4 linked regions of the Drosophila melanogaster genome follow. The protein of the gene in region 1 interacts with the protein of each later gene in a pairwise test. Each region holds a gene or a part of one and is shown in the gene's direction. Other genes may lie near its edges.

What was found.
Region 2: the proteins of CG15167 (region 1) and Fdx2 interact in a two-hybrid assay, tested with the Drosophila melanogaster proteins (one large-scale study listed by BioGRID).
Region 3: the proteins of CG15167 (region 1) and Nup50 interact in a two-hybrid assay, tested with the Drosophila melanogaster proteins (one large-scale study listed by BioGRID).
Region 4: the proteins of CG15167 (region 1) and CG5968 interact in a two-hybrid assay, tested with the Drosophila melanogaster proteins (one large-scale study listed by BioGRID).

The regions. Positions count from the first base shown.
Region 1 is NT_033779.5:18,737,916-18,742,990, forward strand, and holds CG15167 (uncharacterized protein), read left to right. Parts: upstream 1-2,442; 5' UTR 2,443-2,494; coding exon 2,495-2,845; 3' UTR 2,846-2,892; downstream 2,893-5,075. Other genes in the region: CG42752 (uncharacterized protein), read right to left, coding at 1,603-2,091.
Region 2 is NT_037436.4:4,289,164-4,295,073, forward strand, and holds Fdx2 (ferredoxin 2), read left to right. Parts: upstream 1-3,318; 5' UTR 3,319-3,460; coding exon 3,461-3,579; intron 3,580-3,667; coding exon 3,668-4,007; 3' UTR 4,008-4,269; downstream 4,270-5,910. Other genes in the region: Hexo1 (hexosaminidase 1), read left to right, coding at 1-8, 83-717, 798-1,887, 1,950-2,016; CG15012 (uncharacterized protein), read right to left, coding at 2,351-2,460, 2,524-2,653, 2,712-2,846, 2,907-2,990; dyl (dusky-like), read right to left, coding at 5,359-5,910. UniProt on the Drosophila melanogaster protein: Required for ecdysteroidogenesis in the prothoracic gland which is necessary for larval to pupal transition.
Region 3 is NT_033778.4:8,120,411-8,127,225, forward strand, and holds Nup50 (nucleoporin 50kD), read left to right. Parts: upstream 1-2,625; 5' UTR 2,626-2,727; coding exon 2,728-2,953; intron 2,954-3,009; coding exon 3,010-4,139; intron 4,140-4,199; coding exon 4,200-4,538; 3' UTR 4,539-4,648; downstream 4,649-6,815. Other genes in the region: Asap (ArfGAP with SH3 domain, ankyrin repeat and PH domain), read right to left, coding at 1,847-1,975; coil (coilin), read right to left, coding at 4,660-4,799, 4,857-5,063, 5,123-6,459, 6,514-6,599, 6,655-6,789.
Region 4 is NT_033779.5:16,547,038-16,552,679, reverse strand, and holds CG5968 (uncharacterized protein), read left to right. Parts: upstream 1-2,720; 5' UTR 2,721-2,793; coding exon 2,794-2,977; intron 2,978-3,033; coding exon 3,034-3,329; 3' UTR 3,330-3,499; downstream 3,500-5,642.

The DNA.
Region 1 (5,075 bases):
TTAATATCTGCTGTCGATCTGTCCATCTCTCGTAGTTGTGACTTGTTTAATTGTTAACGATTAACTGCCGTTAGGTGCTCGATTATAAAGATATATTATGAATAAACTCCTTCTTTGGTTAGCCAATAAATACATTATGGGTTTATAATTATCATGTAATTTATAAAACCTAAAGATATTATTTTTTATTATAGCCAATTAATTTTCATGTTTCTAATACATTGCCGCTTGGATGTTTTTACAACTTTCTGACGTGCCTACAAATCAAAAACATTTTGGAAGCTGATTTTTTTTTTCTTTTTTACACCTTTTTACATCTTGTGGTCCCATACGATTCCACAACTCACCTCTGACGATCCACTGTTCAATTGCTTTCCCAACGATCCATCTTTACCCATGTCACCGATTTGCCGATCCCCCACAACCGTCCACTGGAAGATTAACCAAAGCGAGGAGCGCGACAAAAAAAGAAATAGAAATCTGATATATTTGTCTAACATCTTCGGCATTAAGCTCACCCCCAGCTCAAAAACGCGAGATTTCCGCATTAGAAACGATTTTTTAATTATTATTTTCAGACGCCTACACGCAAAACCGAAACCCGATGGCTTCGAGTGGATGCTCTGCTCAAATGTCAGGCTTATTAATACAACAGCACCAACAGATCTCTTCAAGCTTCAAGTGCTGGGGATTTGTGGCCGGGGTACGAGATGCGAGATGTGAGATCCGAGATCGAGTTGAGGACGCTGTGCATCTTTATGTGGGAGTGCGGGCTCCATTGATGACACGTCATTTGCTGGCATAGACATCTTCGTCAAATGTGTTAAGTTGCGCTAAGAGGGAAAATGAAAACAGGTCTTCCAGTTCAACGGCAAGAGTGTCAGTAAAATGTCATGGAAAGCCACTTAGCTGGGAGTTTTTGATTTTCGATTTTTTTTCTGTACATTTTCTGAATCGGATTCGCAGCGTCCCCACATCCGCTTTTGGAGGAAAATAAATGCACGTGAAACAAGCAATCCGAAAAGGTAGCTAGCTATCAAACATTTGTCAATTTTCCTGCCCGGAGGTTGGTATTTGGTATTTGGTTTTTGGTGCGATTGGTTCTAGCTCGCGGGCAATGCTCAATTACGGTTTTGATTTAAATCAGTCTACTGACCCCAAAAGTTCAGCTACGGAAATTGCAAATTTAATAATTGACTGGCTCAGAAAACTGTAAAACCCAAACCAGGGGGCTTATTAATGCGATAACCTTGGCTGATTTAATTTCTGCCGTCTATTCGCCGGGCCTGTGATTATCCAGCGAACAAGAAAACCAAACCAAGCCAAAACAAAAACAAAAACAAAAAAAAAATACAAACAGCGACTTCCATAACAACAAAAGGAAAATCAAAACTTGCACAATTTCGACACTAAACGGCGATGTCTGGGCCACTCTTCGAGTGCCTCCGAGCTGCCAGTTAGTCGCATATTTAATTAAGAGATTGAGTGCCGCAAATAGTGTTGAACAATGGCCAGCACGAGTCGCATCCACACTGCGAGAAATCACTGCGACTAAAGAGAATCGGGAATTGTGCTGGCATAGTCTTAGCTATATATTGTCCATTAACAATTGACGAAATATTTTAAGTTAAAGAAGTCGGAATATTTTGCGAACAAGGCTTTAGTTGCCTCGGTTTCCTCTTCCGGTTCCGGTTTTTGATTCTTGAACCTCAGAAAGCAGTCCTCGTATATATCTCCCAGAAACTTGGCGCCCTTAGGAACTCTATCCTTAATATTAAATTTCTCTTTGTTCGGATTGAAGCATAACTCGTAGGCTGAAAAAGTGACTCGTTGGTTAAAGGGTTCTGGAATGCAAAACCTCAGAAGGTAGGGCTTTATCCGGTTTAAATCTTTCCGCTTGCCATCCATCACTCCAAATGCTTGTTTGCCCCCGTGGGTGAATACTATGTATCCGGTTATATGGTTTTTGTGGCAATATTGAAGAATTCGACGCGGAAATTGGTTCCTTGACATTATGTTGTACAACTTAAACTCGGTCCTAAGTTGAATATCCTCATTGAACATCCAATCGTAGGACCCTAATAATGTCATTTCTTGTTTAGTTTTGCTGAAAGATATGCAAATAACTTAGGGCTATAATTTTGGATTGTACTGAGTGTTAAGCTAAATTTACTGGCGTGTAGGTTTGTTTTTAAACTAAATTGATTAAACTGATGACTTACGCAAAGCATAATTATTAATTGACATTTTGTTTTAAAATACGTTTCCTGATAGTTTATAAAAATACTTTTTACGAAAATCTATATAAATATAAAAGTATAGCATTTTTAAAGATTCAGAATTTGTTTTAAATGCTTACCTTTGGATGGATCAGTGATGTTTACTCCACGCAAATTTTTCGATTATATATCATCAGCAGAGTAACTTAGGAAATCTGGATCATTTATTTTCAAAAGCCGTGAAAACTCACATACTCAAATTTCCATTCCCAAAAATGTCGCTGGAACTGGTACTCCAACCGCAGCCAGAGATCTACCTATTAGCGTATGAAATGAGTGTGCCCGAAGATTCCGATGAGGCCCTGCTTTCAGTTGTGGCCCACAAAGCCGCAGAACTTAAGGTGTGTGGCTACATCGCGCATACGCACTGTGGCCGCAAAGTGGGCGGCGAACTGGAGGGCAGCTCTGCTGGCCTGCAGATGATGGTCGAGTGGATGCAGGCTAGGAGCCAGGGGAATCATCTCGGGGACGGGGAGAAGATCAAAAGCCAGATGAAGGAGCCACGATTCTCGAAGTGGAAGCTGCAATCAGGGGCCCCCAAATACGATGTTTTCTTCTGTTGCTGAGTGCTGACGAGAGGAGTTGATTAAAAATCGCAAATTGCATTGGCCCCAGAATATTGTTTCGAGTGCATTTTCATCTCATAAACCATAACAATCAGTGTCGGCCGCTGCTGCTGCTGCTGCTGCTGCTGTTGCTGATGTTGCCGCTGCTGCAGTTGGGCCATTGAACAATAGCCCGGCTGACTCGAAGCTGACTTTTCAAAGTCAAAAACGCGATTGTATCATCAGTATTTTTCGGGGCGCGCTCCCTGCCTCTGCCTTTGCCTCTGCCCCTGATTTTTCGTTTTTTTTTTGTCTAACCATTTTCAGATTTTTCCGCTCGGCGCTGGCAGATAAAGTAGAGGAGCCCGAGTTGCGGCGAAAAACAATCGAATCAATTCATTTTTCTAGGGCGTACTGTGCCACTTGAACGTTGAACTGCAGACGCCCCAATGCTGACTACCGCTGAGGTTTCGCTTTTGGGCTTTCCATCTCCTCCGGAGTTGCCATTGTCTGCTATCAAGACGGCAGCACGGTCTTGATCGTGCCCCGGCACTAGTCATTTTAATTTTTCAAGATTTTCCGAGCTCGGCGCTGCGCGCTGTGCTGTGCTTCTGCGCATTTCGCAATCTGAACTCTATAAATCTCTCGTGCCGGTGTGTTAGATTTATGGGTTATGGGCCAAATGGGAGCGGGCCAAGCCAAATGTTCTACGGACGGCACAGAAATCGGCGATCCGGGCGATTCAATTAGATCTAAACGCTGTCAACATCCCGGCACTAATAAGCAGCAACATTTCGGGCGAGGGGTGGCCACAGCCCGAAAAAAGTGTAAATAAAACCAAGAGTGTCGTCTGGCCTGTGTCTGTGGCATAATGTTGCATAATATTTTATGCATGCAGAGCTGGCAGATTGCAACATGTTGCCATGTTGCAGCTCCAACTTCGACGCCGGCCCCGGCCGATGATGATGATGATGATGCATAGCCCCAAGAATCGCTGAGACAGCCAAGCGCGCTGTGGCGCCCCTCCCTGAATCTCAATCTGAATCTGAGTCTGGAAATCCTGCAAACCTTCGCGACTTCCAGCTGTGTGTGCCCGGGCTCAAAGTGTGTCGAATATTCAAGTGAAAATTCCGCCCCAGCCCCCAAAGACCCGCTGCGATGCATCGCGGAGTCCTCCAGAGTGCGGCGCTTCGATGACGTTGAGCTGGGATTTGAATTTCGGATTCGACCATGTGTTGGTTGGTGTCTCTCTGCCCATGCAGGCATGCCCATACATCGACACGGAGAGAAATCATAATCTGCACAATCATGATGTATTTAATTGTATATTAGAAACTTTAAAAACTGTAAATATTATAATACTTATTCTGTTCGATAATATCATTTAAATTTAAATGGTGCAATGCTTGTTGATCATTAGAAGTATGTAATTTTGTTGGCAAATAATAGGTAAAATTGATAGGTACGAAATACAAATATGTTATATATATTGAAAGAAACACAATAGTTGGTGACTAATTAATGTAGTTATTAATGCGTGTTATTTTTTTTTACTGCACATGCATCTGCCGGTTATGGGATGTATCTACATATCGTATGGTATCGTATCGTATCCATAGGTGGGTAGCTCAGAGTCTCAAGCGATGGCGTTATTCCCTGGGTCTTGGTCTGGTATTTGATTAGACGGCAAAAGGTGACGGCGGCAAACTTGATCGCCGTGTTGTTGTTGTTTCTGGTTTTGTTGTTTCGCTGTTGGCTGATGTTGTTGCTCTGGCTCTTTAAGTCGAACAATTACATTTTAAGCGTAGCACAACCTTGGATACCGTTATATTTTTGCAGTTGGTTGGGCGTGTGTTCAGCGAGTTACCCAACAAACATTTGCAGCAGAACTATTTGTGTGGGTTTTTTTTTAAGTATTTAAAATCAATAAAAGTGAGCTCTTTTAATTTACGATTTAATTTATATATGTAATGGAGAATTATATGAAATATATAATGTTTTTCTTTGATATTCAGTAAAATCGTAAAGTAATGTATTTTATTATTGTTCTTCTCTTCTAGAGTACGAACAAACTTAACTACCTATCATATAAATCATCTCAATTAATCCCAATTTTTAGCTCAATAATGCCCGAGCGCTTGTAAACCATATTCAAATTACTCCTCTTCAGCCTCATTTCGGCCAACTAAGGCTGCCATTTCGCCCTATAAAATCATTCCAAAAAAGGGAGCCCGACCAAGAAACTACTCCC
Region 2 (5,910 bases), on another chromosome or scaffold:
AGCTCGGAGTGAGTAAATCAAACCTCGTATGCTATATAGATTAGGTCACTGACTTTCTCTTTGACTTGATTCCCGCATCCAGTGACTTGGTTTACGGCTACGAGTGCCGCAGTGGCTACTGCCAGAAGGTAGAGCTCAGCGAGGAGAACTACGTCAAGGCCATCAGTCTGCCCGTGTGCCGGCTCTTCTGCGGCAGCTCCATCGGCACCTTGTGGCCCAAACCGACGGGCACTGTGCGTCTGGACACGTTGATGCGCCAAGTGGACATCTCCTTCATTGATTTCAATTTCAATGGAATTGCCCGCCAGCAGAAGCTATGGCGAGCGGTTGAAGACCGTTTCATGAACATGCTCGAAGCCCAGATTCCGGATCGCAAGGTTCTGGCACGAGGTGGCTACCGTATGTCTGTGAACATCAATACTCCGGATGAGCCGACACCGGCCAGACTCACCCTGGATACGGATGAGAGCTATACGCTGGACATTGATACGGATGCCTCGGGTCATGTGCTGGCCAACATAACCGCGTCCAACTTCTTTGGAGCCCGTCATGGCCTGGAGACACTAGCCCAGTTGATTGTCTACGATGACATCCGCCGCGAGGTTCAGGTGACTGCCAATGCCACCATCAACGATGCTCCCGTGTACAAATGGCGTGGATTGCTCCTGGACACCTCCCGTAACTACTACTCTGTGAAGTCCATCAAGAGGACGTTGGGTAAGGCAATGGTTCAGGAAAGAGGCAGGGGAGGGTTATGTTTTCCGTTGACTCTATGAGTATCCTTTTTTCCTCCTTAGAGGGCATGGCCTTGGTCAAACTGAACACCTTCCACTGGCACATCACGGACTCGCACAGCTTCCCATTGGAGGTGAAGAAGCGTCCGGAGCTGCACAAGCTGGGAGCCTATTCCCAACGGCAGGTGTACACCCGTCGGGACGTGGCCGAGGTTGTGGAGTACGGCCGCGTGCGAGGCATCCGTGTTATGCCAGAGTTCGATGCCCCTGCCCATGTGGGTGAGGGCTGGCAGCACAAGAACATGACCGCCTGCTTCAATGCCCAGCCATGGAAGTCGTTCTGCGTTGAGCCACCGTGTGGCCAACTCGATCCCACTGTGAACGAAATGTACGATGTGCTGGAGGACATTTACGGCACCATGTTCGATCAGTTCAACCCGGATATCTTCCACATGGGCGGCGATGAAGTGTCAACCAGCTGCTGGAACAGCAGCCAGCCCATCCAGCAGTGGATGAAGAAACAGGGTTGGGGCCTGGAGACCGCCGACTTTATGCGCTTGTGGGGACACTTCCAGACGGAGGCTCTTGGTCGCGTGGACAAGGTGGCCAATGGTACGCACACGCCCATCATTCTGTGGACTAGTGGACTCACTGAGGAGCCCTTCATTGACGAGTATCTGAACCCAGAGCGTTACATCATTCAGATCTGGACCACTGGTGTAGATCCGAAGGTAAAGAAGATTCTGGAGCGGGGCTACAAGATCATTGTGTCCAACTACGATGCCCTGTACTTGGATTGCGGCGGAGCTGGCTGGGTGACCGATGGAAACAACTGGTGCTCCCCCTACATTGGCTGGCAGAAGGTGTACGACAATAGTTTGAAATCCATTGCCGGCGACTACGAGCATCATGTATTGGGCGCGGAGGGAGCCATTTGGTCAGAGCAGATCGACGAGCACACACTGGACAACCGCTTCTGGCCCAGGGCCAGTGCCCTGGCCGAACGACTTTGGTCAAATCCTGCCGAAGGTTGGCGCCAGGCGGAGTCACGTCTGCTGCTCCACCGCCAGCGACTGGTGGACAATGGTCTGGGCGCAGAGGCCATGCAGCCGCAGTGGTGCCTGCAAAACGAGCACGAGTGTCCCATTGACGCGTACGATGCACAAGTTTGACCAGCTATTAAACCATTTCTCTTAACGGTCGCTATCCTTGTAGATGTAGTCGGGGCAGCGGGCGGCTTGGGTTGATCGTCCTGTTGCTTCTCACAACGCTCTCTGCCTGAAAATAAAGTACAGCTCAAAGGTGGCCTTACGCAAGTGACTTGTCGTTTATTTTGTTAAATATAAATGAGATTATTGGCCCTGCTCTGCGCCCTTTTCCGATTCAAAGCGGCAGAATGTCGGAAATAGTGAGGGAAATCCGTACAGACTCGACGATTTTTTCGAATATGAACAGTAGCAGAGTTGGACATTTTACGCTTCAATGTGTGGGGTGAGGATTTGCGAGTGATGGTGTCCTCGGCCTCAAGCATAAACTCCTTGGACTCCTGATTATGTACGTAATGAGTCTAGATACTAAAAGCTGCGTTCCCTTGTGCAATAATTTGAATGGAAGCTTTACTCATTCCACTCTTCCTCGTTGCGTCCAAACTTGTAGACCAAACTGGCGAACAGGATGAAGACGTTTTGCATCAGCAGAGCCACGCCAAACCAGCCATCCTTCTTTTCTGAAAAACGATAAGTGGGTGCAATTCAGCTAAGGAATCCTTAAATATCTGTTTATTTCTCACCATTGTTGATGAAGTCGTCGATCATCACCCAGATGGCGGCAATGATGGAGGCAAAACCCATTAGGAAGCCCACAAGCAGCCAGATCTTCGCTATCCTGGCGCCGGACTCCGATGAGTTCTCATCAGAAATCTGCGCACAAACAAAAGAAGTGAGTCACTTGTTAAGCCCAATGATAAGTGTGTGTTACATGTTCTCCCTTCACTGCGTTCACCATGCAGAAGCTGATGGTCCCGAAGATGCCGATGAAGACGTGTCCTGTGGTAATCTGGTGCTTGCCGTCGATGGACATGGCATCGATTAGAACCCACCATCCTGCGAAAAACTAAGGAGAAAAAGTTGCACTGTCAGGCGGGCGGCTCTTTGTTTGCGGGTGTTAGCCTACCAGAAGTCCGGCTATTATGGAGGTGTTCCTGTTCCTGGACGCATCCCCCGTGAAATGCAACGCAATATTGTCCAACACGCCCATTGTTTAGGTTTTAAAACGTAATTAAATTTATTCCACTCTTAAATCTTCTTGTTTTGACGCACAGGGTTGTCTGTCTGCAGGTGAATACAGGGTTTCTTCACTCGCTGTAGCAACCCTGTTTCAGTATTTAGTGTGTTCACACCTGAACTGCAGCAGTAACATATACTTTTTGTGTAACACAAATTAACTCCGTTATAAAAAGAAAGTTGCTGTTAATTAAATATTTTGTGCAATAATTTGTGCAAACATTTAAATGTTTAACTTTAAAATTACTGCTTATGCAGTTTGTTGTTGTTTTTTAGTACGTTAAAGGCACGACGTCTTTTTCAGAAAGTCCAATACGGTCACACACAACTTCACGTTTAACAAAATTTAATTGATTTCCTTATTATTTAACAACCGATCGCAGCGACACGAGTGGGTGCGTGTTGTCAGTTATAGTAAGAGATTGCAAAGGAATCCTAACCAGAATGCTAGTCATAAACTCATGCAGAGCTGCCTCCAGATTGGCGCTACGCAGCCTCAATTTGCGATCGCCGATCGCAACGCGTACTTTCTCGACGGGATTGGCCCTGAAAACGAAAGATGTGTGAGTATCTTCTCCACCCCACGAGCACTACAATGGTAGCTCCACACCGCCAGAGCAGCGTAAACATTGACCAATCTCGCTATTGCAGTGTTAACATAACCTTCGTGCGTGCCAATGGGGACAAGATTAAGACGTCCGGAAAAGTGGGTGACTCCCTGCTGGACGTGGTGGTCAACAACAATGTGGATCTGGATGGTTTCGGGGCCTGTGAGGGCACGCTGACCTGCTCCACCTGCCACCTGATCTTCAAGACCAGCGATTTCGAGAAACTGCCCGACAAACCCGGTGATGAGGAGCTGGACATGCTGGATTTGGCGTACGAACTGACGGACACCTCGCGGCTGGGCTGCCAGATCACCCTGTCCAAGGATATGGAGGGCCTGGAGGTACATGTGCCCTCCACCATCAATGACGCACGTGCCGCGTAGATAGACACCACCACTGTTATCAATTGTTACAAATTTGAGTGCTAATTCGCTTTAGTTCAACCTAGATGTAGTCAATATTTTTGAACGAAATCGTATGTATTGTCCCAGGGACACAAACCTCAGGCGGCTATAATGGATGCGCGCATTAATCCGATTCCAGTTGCGGATTAGCGTCCGCTGTTGTTTTTAAAGTGTTTAAGCTCAAAGGGATTAGATCAATATGTAAATAAGTGTGTTGCAATAAATTTACATGTATTTTCGTACTTCTCTTGGTTTTATTGAAACTGTGGAGGAAAGCATCCAGCGTAGATATCATTTTTAACCAATAATTCATTTGCCTTTTTAATTCTATTGGCAAAACTAGCCGATTTTAAATCGGTCATTCTTGTTTTTTAAATATCTCAGCTAAAAAGTGTTTTTCTGCGTGTATTCATGATCTCGAAGTTGTGCTCGGCAAATAAACAGGCACACGCAAAGATTTTCCTCGGCATCATAGTTCTAATAAAAGTGTGTAGTATACTTTTGAACACAGGTTTATGATCATTAGTTAGCAAATTCAAGATGATCGTATTTTATATTCCTATTTGCCTCGCTTGTATGACAATGCGAACCATATTATTCTTTATTCTATTCATTCGTTTTGCCAAACTTGTTTTGTTTATACCAAAACTTCCAGTCACGGCCAACACAAGGGCTGTTATCAAAGCCCCCCACACAAACATTTCATCACACTGATAAAGTTTGCATTAGCTTTGTTTGCGTTTCCTTATCAGTCGTTCCCAAGCTCCGATAATCAGAGGTACTATTAGAACGCATTAAAACACTTGTCGCTTAATAAAAGTAAACTTTTTATTATTTCGCAGCTATCAAATAAAGTAATAAATAAATAATTTAATATATACATTTGCTATATTAACTTATTGTAAACGATTTTCTGCCTTTCCATGTTTGCCGCTTCATTACTTCGTTTGTGTTTATTTTCTCGATATTATTAACTTGCATATTGTAACATTCGAGGCTAATCTGTTCGTTCAGATGGCCTCAAATCCCGCGTAGGTATAACTGAAACTTAACAAGTCTGACAATTCAATTTCGCTTTGCCTAAAACTAGGGAAACATATGAAGGATAGAGCGTAGTGGTAAAGTAGGAAACCATTTGAAAGTGGCGGATTGTGGGATCTCAATAAATAACCAAAGAATAAATAGTTATGGGATGGGGGGTGCCTATGGGGAATGGGTTTGGAATGAGTGTTTCTGAAGTGCACATAAAACTGATTTGGTTTTCTGTTCACGCCGATCGGTCGCTGTTGATGGTGATGATGGTCCGGTCCTCTGGCCCGATTTCAGATCCTTAGTTCACATAGGCCATGCCCGCTCCCTTGCGATCGAAGTGACGCACGCGGACGAAGAGGAAGGCGGCGACTAGAGAGGCGACGGCCAGGACGAGCAGCAGCATCACCAATCCGCCCACAAAGCTGGGCACCGACATGCAGATGGTCTCCGCATCCGCGGACCTGGCCGACTGGATGACCACCGTCTCGTTGCTGGCATTGCTGTTCAGCGCAAAGTTAACGTCTCCGGGCGCCACCACCTGGATAATTCGGCTGGTGTTCACATCGGTCATCTCCTGCGCGTTCCTCTTGTAGATCCTCTGTGGCTTCACCACAATGTCCATGGTGTCTCTGCGCCTTCGCACGCCGCGCAGATCGTCCAGTCCCTCCACGGAGCGTGGGCGTCCGCCCAAGGAAACCAGGTTGCCACCGGCACTCAGGTCATCCTTGCGCTTCACCGTGCTGTACTGACCGCTCTGTCCTGGCAGTGGTGGTGGCGGCAGACCCAGTTCGTTGCTGCCAGTGGGCTGAGGCTGTGGCGACTGGGAGCTGGCAGGTCCGGAAACGGTTCC
Region 3 (6,815 bases), on another chromosome or scaffold:
GCAAAGATCGCTTACATTCCTGCTGAAACTGATATATGAGCTACCAGACAACAACTGCCCAATAAATACTGCAGATGGAAAAAAAAGTAACAAGCGAATCGGCCAAGACCGAACTCCGGGAAACCTGACTATTTGCGATTGCAATTCTATACTACGCGATAGTCGCTGAGTGGCAAACATCTGGGGACAAATGAACCCCTAGCAATCCGCCATCGGCTGTAGAAGATTAGTCATGTTGTTGAGCAAATTACTGGGAATGCAAACAACACGCCTAGACCGAAAACAAAAACCAGCTAACGATATTCGTCAACTTGTTTTGCTCTTTGGACGAGTTGCGCGGCCAGTTAGCTGTTTTGATAACAAAAGATGCTAATTTATAATAAGTCAAAGCCCCAGAAGATGGCTAAAACAGCAGCACTTTGTTGTGGAGCGGCCAAATGAATGGCACAGAGAGAAACTCTTGGACGCACAAAATTAAATTTCATTTTAGACAGTCAGTTTTACAGCTGCTCCAAATATAATAAACACGCAATGGGAGAGACTGGCTAAAAAAAAAAGAGAAATAAAATTCATTTAACTGGCGGGGAATGGAGGTCACTGGGCTGCTTGGGCTACACCAAAAATCCATCAGCAAAATTAAATATTAAATGTTTGACGTGGCGTCCAAGAAGGCGGCCCAGAGTTCCGGGAAAAACTGGGCATGACGTGACCGACCAATAAATCGTCTAATTTTGTTTCGCCGGGCGGGCGCTGCATTAGCCTGGGGAATTGGAGCAATATGTGTATATTGCACAACCGGCCCACTCAAGGGTCTTTTGGATGACAACATGGATGACTTTTCCACTTAGGCGTTCTGTGTTTTCTGTGGACGATATCCCCAGCTGACTGAGTGTTCCCGTACGGGAATAGCCGCGGTTCTCGGATTCGCTGCTCTTATCACACGCCTTTTTCCGGCCGTAAAATACTCTTTGTGTGCTTAGCTTTATCAGCGGGCGATTTATATCCGTGCACTTACATACATATGAAAGTGGAGGCGACATCACAGCTGCCTTGAGTAAATATAGAAATTACAGCATGCTTATGTGGCAGCCACTCCCACTTCGGTGCCCAGCCCCCAGTTCCCTGCGCCCCTAGCTCCATCTGCTCTTGCACGTTCCGGAATGCACTTTGTATTTCCATTGTACTATTTTTGTGGAATCGTGGAATCGAGGAAAAACCACCTTGCGGGCAGACAGAGAGAGAGCGCGAGCCGGGAGAGAGAGACCGCACTAAAATAACAGGCGGTGGCTCATTTTGGCGCCGCGCCAATTTACAAATCTGTCCGCTGCAGCCCCCCGGAAAATAGTAATCATCACCGTTTGGCAGGGGGCGTCGCCTGCCATGTTAGCTGCAGTATCGCGTGGTCACATAGCCGTGCTCCTGTTTTCACTTTCACCGACATCGATCAGATTCCATTAAATTAGGAACTTTGTTTTGCAAAACCGATTATTATTACAGATTATCCGCAGATGGATCGGAATTTTAATCATTGAAATAAACAAGTAATGACGATAACACATTCCTCACTCTCCGTAGCCTACGAAGATATTAGTTTTTGAACAGTAAACCCAATTTTTCAGCGGTTCAAATGCCTTTAAATTCAGTGACCCCTAGACTGTTTATATGTTTAGCTCAAATATAAAACTATATAGACTGGGATTCCCAGAACACACCTGTAAACCCACCAGGATAGCCCACCTTAAACTAGGGATTGCTTGGGCTGTAGGTACACAGATTGTTGGCTTTTTGGACTACCTGCCTCTACATAAGGAACATGGCTTAGGAATTGCCTGGTCAACACACTTACCTCTTCCAAGACGCCAATCGTGTGGCGGCAGTCGGGCATCCTCGAGGCGAAGGTGGAGGTGGTGGGCGAGCTGTAATCGGAGCGCGTCTCCTCCACAAACTCGGACACGGCAATCAGGGATGGCGGCATTTTGCTGCTCAGGATATCCCGATGTCCTGGTATATACAGCGTATCTTTTACTCACACGCACACTCACTCACACACACACACACGCGAGTCGCACGCACACCAGCTCACGCCCAAGGCCGTGGAACGGGAGCAAAATGGGAGTGGGAGCGGGACGGCAAATAGCTGAGAAACTACCAGGATAACGCCTTTAAGCACTGTACGTGTCTCTGCGTCTTTGTTCACTCCCGATTTGTGTTGTTGCTCGTCGCACTTTCCCTGGCACTATATCCATATATCCACACACTGGCGTTCTCATCATCCTCATGCAATTTGGCTTTTTGCTTTTCGCTTTTCGGTTTTCTGCGTTTTTGGTACTGCTCGTACTACTCGAGATGCACAATTAACTTTGTCTCTGGGCGAGGGAAGTGCGCAGTACCCGGAATCGCGGCAATCATGGTAGGATCAGAAACACACTCGGACTGGTACTGCTACTGTGACTGGGACTCGCGGCACTGGACATGGTCGTCCTAACTTTAGGCGTGATTTAATACTTTTGTTTTATTGCGATTTTGTGCTGCTGGCGTCTCGCTGTTGTTACCCTATCGATATGCTATCGAAAGCAGCAGGCCTGTTTCGCTGACTCACAGTTACGTCGCCCAACTGAGGTAGCGATAACATTTATCGACCGCCAGCAACGCGGTGTGGATTTTATTCGGTTTTTTTTTTCTTTTTCACTGGCATTTGCTTTGAGTTTTAATACAGAGTAGAACAAGATGGCTGGCAAGCGACAAGCCACTTCGAACCTGAACCACGAAAACTGGGACCTGGAGGAGGAACCCGAGGAGCGCGGCACATTCCGCACGGCCACCGAAGAGGAGCTAAAGACACGCGTTATCAAGAAGGCGCGCCGCAAGATTGCCGGTGGATCGTCCGCCGCTGAAGAGGATGGCGCCGAAGAAAAGACTGCAGAGCCCAAAAGTGTGTTCAGTGGCTTTTCCGGTAAGCTATCAAATCCATGCAGACCTGAGGGACTTGCTCACTCCGATTGCTTTTAGGTTTCGGCAAGCCGGCTGCGAGCCCAGCCGCGGGTTCGCCTTTCTCCTTCCTGGCCAATGTGACGGCACCAGCCACGACCTCTAGCAGCGAGCCAAAAAAGTCTGCATTCTCGTTCGGGTTCAGCTCCAGTTCCAGTTCGGCCGATCGGCCTGTCAGCACTAGCATTTGCGGCACCGCCAGCACCAGCAGCACGGCCCCCTCTCCTTTGCCGGCCAAGGAATCAACAAGTACCGTCGATGGCGCCAAGCCGACCACCTCGATATTTGGCAACATATCAGCTGCCAAGAAGGAGAGTAGCGAGGCCAAAACCAGCAGCAGCAGCACTAGCCTCACATCCACCATGGAGACCTCCGAGTACCGTGAAAGCGTTGCTGACCTAAATCGGTCCGTCATAAAATTCCTGCAGGACCAAATGGGCAAAAGTCCCTACTGCATACTGACTCCAGTGTTTAAGAACTATGATGAGCATCTAAAGGATCTGCAAGACGAGGAGAGCGCCAGAACGAACTCCACGAAATCCAAAACGGCACAAGCTCGTTCTCAAGAACCAGTTGCAAAGGTGTCCCGTGCATCGTCGCCACCAAAAGCGGCTACTACGTTTACGTTTGGCAAGCCCAGCGCGCCAATAGGCGCCAGCGTATCGCCCTTAGCCAAGAAACCCAACTGCACCATAACCAGTGGTGGAACAACCACCACGACCGCAACACCACTGGTCTCCTTCGGCAGTACGGCATCGTTCACTGCGCCAGTGCCGTCCTCCTCCAGTATCTTCAGTTTGACAGCAAAACCCACTGGAGAAGCCAAATCCGATGATACCCCTAAGTCCAGCATTTTTAGCTTTGGAGCAAAGGATACGACCACTAAAAAGGATGAGCCTAACTTCTCGGCACCGAAGACCAATGGCTTTTCCTTCGGACTGAAAAGTAACAACGACGACAAGCCAAGCACCTCGTTGTTTGCGGGTTTCGGAAAAGCGCCTGGAGGAGCAGGAGACGGCGCAAAGGGCTTTTCCTTCACCAACAGTGCCACGCCCTTCTCTCTCGGAAACATTCATCCGCCAGCTGCAGCGGCAGCGCCTGCGGAGGAGGAAAAAGAAGAGGATACGCCCCCAAAAGTCGAGTTTAAACAGGTGATGATAAAAGAATTTTCTTTTCGAAGGGAAAGATAATATAACTTCTACTCCAAACAGGTTGTGGAGGATGACGCTATATACTCCAAGCGGTGTAAGGTGTTCATTAAGAAAGACAAGGACTTTGGCGATCGTGGCGTGGGCACGTTGTACTTGAAACCTGTCAAGGACTCCGAAAAGATCCAACTGTTAGTCCGCGCCGACACCAATCTGGGCAACATCTTGGTCAACCTTATTCTTAGCAAGGGTATACCTTGCCAGCGCATGGGCAAGAACAATGTGCTGATGGTCTGCGTGCCCACGCCAGAGGACTCCAAGGCCACATCGCTGTTGCTACGCGTAAAGACCGGTGACGAAGCCGACGACTTGCTGGAGAAGATCAAGGAGCACATCAAGTAGAGGATAGACAACTAACATGAATTCGTACATATAGATGTTGTTTAATCGTTTGTATTTTAAAAGCTATAAATGTACGAAACCCTGGAAATAGAACTCAAGAATGTACACACAAAAATGATAATCAGTCAATTGTGGCTACAATGATTTTGGCTTCAAGCATATCTTTGAGATGAATACTTAAAGTTCGCACATCCTCAGAAGACTCGTCCAACCCACTCATATAATATTGACGCAACATGCGACCGATTTCGGGGGGATAAGCTAAAAATTTTAACGAGATCAGTTTCGGGTATACAATTTAAATTGATAGTCGCTTACTTATTGTTTCCACTGTGACAATTTTGGTGCGCCGGTTAACGTAAGTGCACCTCCCGGCGACAAATTCGGTTGTGCCAGAATTGGCGTTTCCCTTAATCTTCAGCAGTTTAAATATAACCGTATCGCCCCTGGACGGCAGGCTATTGAGTGGAGTTGCAGTCCGCAGTAGGTCCCTTATAATATCCAAAGATTGCCTATTTTCTACTACTAAGATGTCAAGGGCACTCATAAGCATACATCTACCATTTAAATGCCTCGTATCTCACCTGGAATCGGTTCAATATCAGAGTCGCCGTATGAAACGTCGATATTGGAGTCGTCTACCAACATCACATCGTCGTCGGAATCGGATACTAGTTGTTCCTCAAAAATGGGCACTGTTACCGTTTTAACATCCTTCGAATCAACGTTATTTTTAATCGGAGATGCACTTCCGTCATCTGGCAAAATTTTTTCGACTTTGGGTGTTTTTTCCATAGATGTGTTGTTCTGTAGAAATGACTCAGTAAGTTCAAGTGGATTAGTTGCTTCAGCTTCGGACGGAAGAGTGGTCTCAGCTTCAGTCGAATTGTCCAGATAAGCGGATTCAACTGCTCCTATGGCCCCCGGAAGAGTGGTTGATGTTTCAATGATGTCTTCGCAAAGAGGTGCAACTGCTCTCTTTATACCTTCTGAAACATTTTTTTTATCCTTTACATCTGGTAATTCTTCGTCGTGCAAAATTTCGTAGGATTTAGGCTTTAAGGTTGAATCCTTCCCATTGCTTGGGAATTGTTTAGCCGTATCATCACTCTTAGCTCCTTTCTGCAGCAAAAAACGAGGACTGATGGGCTTAAGTTTTTTATATTCCAGAATTTCAATTTGTTGTTTTTTAGTGGGAAATTGAAATATGCGCGGAACATTAAAGGGCATCTCCAAGAGAGGGGAGCGGAACGAAATCGATAGGAGGCTAGCAGCAATGCCAGGACTCTTCTCAATTTGGTCCCCTGCTTTCAGTTGAGATAGTTTATCCGGAATTTTGTTGGACTCCAAGTGTGTTTTGTCCTGTTGCTCCTCTCGAGTTTCGTTTTCCTTCGTTACCACACCAGATTTTTCTGATAGAATGTCAGGCGATGTCTCTTGATTCTTGCTTTCTGACATTTTACCCTCCTTGAGCGTGCATCGAGAAATACTCTTAGGAGCAGGTTCATTCTCTACCTGGTCAGATGCCTCGGGCGATTTGGTCGGTTTCTTGTTTTTGGATTTATTTTTAATCTGAGGAGCAGATTCCTTGTTCTCTGTCTCGATGTTCGCTGACATGTTAGAAACTTCTGTCTGAGTTTCAGGGGCCTTTGGAGTGCCTTTGTTTGTCAAGAGCTTTGATTGTACAGAAGGTCCAGGAGCCATATCTAGCAACTCCTTCTTTCTCACACGAGATGGGTTTTCTGCAATATTTATCCATTCTGAGTTGTTCTGGTTCTTGGAGCGCTTTGAAGGTCGGAGGGGAGTGGAGGCGGTTAGGTGAACCTGTTCCTCGACGGATCGATTCTTGCGCTTTTTACTGGATTTTACAGGAGCAGGGCTCACAAAGGTATCACTATCGTGGCTGGCAAACCGAAAGGCTCTGCAAGGGATGAATATGCTCAAGTAGATCGTAAAAAGAAATAAGCTCACCTACTTGAGTCCTTCGGCAGAGTTCAACACTTTGATAGACTCCCTCGGGGGCAGATAGCATCCATCTGAGGTGAGCAGACTAATGTCCTTCTGTTTGAATGCAATTTATTTAGAATTAGCAGTTAGAGATTCTTAAAAATCTTGCCAAGCTGAAGAGGTTTTGTATGTGGTCCTGGAGGTCCTTGATGTTGTTCCATGCTGCATCGATGAAAACCAACGAATTTCGTCGTTCGTCCTTGAAAAAGTTTGATAGATCCACCTTCATGCTGGAGTGTTGCATTTTTGACTTAGTTTTCTTATGATTAA
Region 4 (5,642 bases), 2.2 Mb from region 1:
TTTATTAAGTTTTAAATCAATTTTTAAATATATATAACATTTATATCCAGACATGCTACTGGGCCTTAGTTTTAAAGATTATTAAGTTATGTTAATATGAAAATATGCTAAATTCGTTCGATATAATTAGGCTTCGCCAGTATTTTTCTTTTTTTTTGGTGGTGTAAGTTCACAATGAGGAAAAATAAGGGTTGGGGTTGCCGGGCAGGTCATCCTTTCGAATAAAACACAGCAAGTATAACTGTCAGGCTGCAGAGGCTGCCGTTTATCACACATGTACACACACTACTCGCATGTACACTCACCTATGGGTCGCACTGTGTGCTTATAGGTTGACTCTGCATAAATGTCAAAGAAGATGCGAATGTGTGTGTGTGTGTGTTTGCCCGTTTGGTATAGAAGATTTCAGTTCAATTAAGCGTATTTGGCTAACAAATTAAACTTGAAGCAATTCAGTGAGTCAAGAGAAACCATTGACATAAAGGCAATGGGTTTTCAAATCGACATATATATGTCAAATTTTTAGTATTGATGTTTTTTTAGTTTTCAGGTTATCTATTTCATACGTATTTTATTTAAAGTGCTTTACCTAAACCTTAATAAATGCTTGCATTCTATCCATTCTGAGCCGTAAATATGCCTGAATTTCCTGTCCAATAAAATCCGTTGCAGCATTGTTCACAATTCAGCTTTTCTCATTTGCCATAAATAATAAGTGAAAAGCGTGTCATTCTAAACACGCCTTCTGCTTTCACCTACCGACTTCATAAAATACCTCGTTCGTGTTTTATGGCTGTGCACAGTGACAAGTGTTAAAATAACATTTGTACTGCATTTTAAATGGCATTTTGAGAAAAGAATTTCCGTGCGCAAGTGTGTTGCCATTTTGAAATTCTTTTATTTCTAGTGTGCAAAACGTTGGGGCAAAACAATCAACAAACGAATTTCCTGGTAGTCCGGTGTTTGTATTTCATTTTTGGGCTAGAGTCAAAAGGCTACATTTAACCGAGGAAAACATCAAACATTTTAAATAAATGTTCGCTCTGGGCGGAGAGCTGTTGTCCCTGATTTTTCAACGCTTCTATTTTTAGGTCTATACGAAACGGAAATCAAATAGAATTTAACCCACCTACAAAAACCATTCCTGCATACACACACAGATACATTTACGGCAAACAGACAAAGAAAAAACAGAAATCATAGCATACTTTAATGTGCTTTAGGGCCAGCAAAGTGAAGGGCAAAAAATGTATAAGAACTTATTGTAAATCACCGGATTGTTGAATTTTTATTTACATTGAAATTTACGTTTTAATTAATATGCAAACATGCACATAAAATTTGCGTTGGAAATATTCGTTATTGATTTTAAGATCCTATTGTTCTTTTTCCATGAATCGTTTATTTTATTATTAAAATAGAACGTAAAGAAGGAGCTCATACAACAATATTGAACAATTATTAATTTTATTGGCTTCTTTTCGGTCTTTTTCAGTTTCTGAGCGTACATTTTCCCATTTAAAAGTTATTTAATTACTTTACATTGGAAACATTTTAATATTTTAATGTTTAATTCAATTTAAAATGAATATTTCTGTATAAAATTGCCAAATAATATCACAAATTTTTCTTAAGCCTTTAAAGTTAAGATGTACAAATACTTAAAAAAGAGTACAATATATATATGTACGTAAAAGAGCATCGGAGAAACGATATATTTCTAGCTGTCACATTCGTTTTAACCATTTTTTTTATTGACTTTCAAACGTTCGGTTCAGTGGCAGCCATATGGCAAACTCTGACACTTTTTGATTAAATTACCGTTGACTGTCAATATCAAGAGTAAACGGCACTGCTTTCCAACTGTCCTTGGCAGCACTGGAACTGGCGTAGTTTTTGTACTTAATAGGCATTAATAACATTTTAACTTTGTTTAGTGCTTTTTGTTCGCCTTTTCATCGATTTCGCCATTGCCTGAAGTTGAAGATGACTGAGCATTGACATCTTTGTTAGTCAGTTGACTTTGACAGCTGTTGAGGCTTTAATTGCCACTATAAAAATGATTGATAACGAAAACTTTGGCGTGCGTATAAACATCCTTTATTGTTTTCTTTGCATTCGCTTTTTTGTGCCGTTTTTTTTTTTTCTTTTTTGCACAACCCAGTTTAATTAAACCTCCATATGGTATATATTCTGGGCTCGATTACCAAAGTGTGGGCGGTCAGGGATTCTATATTTAGACCACGCTGATTAGAAACAGCAGTGGCGAAAAACGTCAGCAGAAAGGCGTCCCTGATGTAAATATCAGAAGCCAATATTGGAGAACAGAGAGCGGCAAAGTTTGCTCAATTCTTTTACCACTCCTGTTGTTGTGAGTCGGGGATTATTGATAGATATGGCTAAATCCGCTTATATTGGCCAGCTTCTGCAAGGCTGATAGATAAGCGCTTGACGTCGGCCAGTCTACGTAAGTCTTGTTACCAACTGGATGGCGGTCCAAACTTGGCCAAGGATTCAAATGCCAGCGAACAGAGTACAATCAAGGTACAGGTATTTTTCTATCAATATGTACTATTCTCTTTTAATTAATAGATTTCTTTAAAATAATTGTGTTATTTAAAAGTGTAGGATTTTGTAATATTTAAATTAAAGCATGCTGAGAACTTGGTTGTCACTGAAATCTGACTAACAGCTGGCCAGTTGTATTTTGTGTTTTGCACGTAACTCTCAGTTCTTAGAACCGATTTTAGTGATAGCACACGTTTATACAGAATTACACAAATATCGAAAAAAATGCCCAACTTTAATGGGGCTATTATAGTGCACACACTTCAGTTGTTGAAAGCGCCGGCGACACTGCGAGAAATAGTGGTAACCATAGCCAAAAATACGGAATTATCGCAAGATGAGCTTAAAGAGCCTGTGAAACAAACCCTTGAAATGGGCCATCGCTTGGGATTCCTGCAGAAACTCGACGGTGAGATACTTAAACTTATTTTTATACCACACCTTAAAAAAAGGTAAATTCAAAAGGTCGCTACTTTTTGATGAATGTGACCTTCGAGACATTGATGTCTGAGATGGAGGCCCTTGACAAAGAAGAATCTCCGGAGAAGTCACTTAAAAAGAAAAAGAAATTAATACCCAAGACTCCTTTATCGTCGGTCGCTGAGAAAAAAATTAATAAGAAGCCAAGTCAAGTCAAGACAACGGAACAGTTGGTAAAGTCAAAACCAACTGAAAAGGGCCGACTGCAGGACATTCCTAGTTCATCCACAAACATAAGAAAAACGCCATCCAAGCTGATTAAGCGAACAGTTTTTAAGTAAGCCACGCAAAAGGATATTCGAACTTGTCAAAAAAAAAAAAAAAAAAAAAAAAACATCCAAGAAACCAATGCTACATATATTTGTTACAGGATAAATTTCTTGTCCGTTCTATTATAATATTTGGCCCAAAATAGGAAAAGATATTAAAATCTTATAAAATTTCATTAAAGCGTTTTTAAATCTAAATATTTAAAATAGGTCCATTGGGTATAATCGATTAAAATACGAAATTGCTGTCGGGAATAAGTCCTTACTTTCCGTCTCCTAATTCCCGTGGCCAATGAGAGGGTGCCTTTGAGAAATGGTGGCTCATTTGCGCAAACTGACAAATGTCTCAATTAGCGGAGGACGAATCCTCAAATGCAAGGGCGGTGGGGAGTATACATATATTCGGGAAAGTGGGTGGCAGCGAGGCGCCCGACAATGTCGCGACGCTTCCTATTCAATTTGAAAACCAAATGAAGCGTTGCCTCCGCCAAGGAGCAATTTACTCAGTGCATTGAATTGACCATATGGTTGGACACCCACCGAAGTCACCCACACGCCATCCGCACCACCGCCCCTCGAGGCATTTAGAATGGCCAACCCACCAGTTACAGGATCCCTTAAATTTTCGTAAAAAGCTTTAATGCACTCAAACAAGTTCTACACCATATTGTACTGTAAAAGATTTCAAAAAAGTAACTTTTTTTAAATCACTGTATACTTCATATGGAATATTTTTAGAGATTAAAATATTTATTTCTTTTTTTTTTATTTATTAGAAATCAAGTTCTAAATATACTATTTTATTTTTGTCATTAATTATTGTTGGAAATAAAGATGTATGAATAAAATATTTATTTTAAATAAACTTATGAATTTCGAATGCAAATCCATTTTTTCCGGTGCAATTGTAGGGTTTTTTATATAGTTACTCGCGCTGCTTTGCTTTGACCTTTGCGATGACGTCGGACCGGCGTCGGCTACCTCAAAGAGAGAGCAATGTAAACAGAGAAAGAGAAAGGCAGAGAAAGCAAGAGAGAGAACCAGTGGGGGAGAGAGCCTGGTGAATAAACAGCATGGTGAGAAGCGGTTCCTACGCGAAGAGTGCAACAAATGTTTGGTGGACAACTTCGGGCCAACAAGGTAAATGTTAAGGCATACACGATGGCTGAGTGGGTGAGCTTGTCGTTGGGTGGTTTTAGCGGGCGGTGGGTTAGTTGGGCGGGCTGCTTAGTGGGGTGGTTGCTTTTCGGCCCGTGACGCGTGGGCAGCGACAAAAGCGGGTGAAGCTATGTCTTGCCCTTTTTTTCGGCATACTGGCATACATAGCACGGCGAATTATTTGTGTGTGCCGATGTGCGGATATACAAATGTGTGCCTTTATAAGTGTGCTTTTATCAGGGTGCGTCAATCTAAGCCAAGTTCTGAATTTACGAAAGTCTTGAAATGCCAAGTATATTCTTATAAAGGTTTAAGCGCTAAAAGGAAATCAACAGTCCGCAAAAATAGCTGATCTTAATATTTCTTCTATTAAAAAAAAAGCACTTAATTTTAGTTCAGATCTTTACTTAGTTTAAGTCCTATATGCATGAACAAGTTTAATCAATATTGAAGTTTTTTATATTTAGCTTCGAACAAATTGCTCCACCCTAATGCTCCTGTATCCTTGTTCGCGATGAGCGTATACCCAGACAACGAAATGTCACAGCAGCCTACTTATGCTTTTTTCGCATCGCGTTTTATCCCCAAATGTGTGTGCGATTTTTGGTTCAGCTTTTTGGCATATGGTCGCCGTGCCGGAAAAGTGGGAAACCGGTAAGGGGGCTGCTTTCCCATTTGCAGTTTGGCTGAAAAGCTGTTTCGCTTATTTCCCTCTTTTTTAGTCAACCGTTTCTAGATAAATATTTTGCAACACCGCATCGCATTTCCATGATTAGCAGATAAACATATGCCAAGTTGCAAACTTGGCGTGTGTGTTCGGAGTGTAGAAGTTTAGAGAATCCCTGGGTAGTGGGCGGTTATACACGCGACTTTAATTGAGCTTTCAAGAGGACTAAGTTAAACATACAAATGTTTGCTTAGGATGCAACAGCTGTTGGCTGTGAGTTAAAAATTGTTCGAAAAAAACCTCTTTGGAGAAGTGGAATATCTTAAAATATTTAAATTTAAAATTTGATTTAAAACAATAAATGACGTAAGGTTTTTAAATTATAGTATAAAAATACTAGATTAATCGAAAATTAATGAAGTTTTGTATACCGCATTGAAACTGTGTATCTAAAGCTTTTAACTATTTAATGCCCAAAATTGCCTAATAGCGGTTCAGTT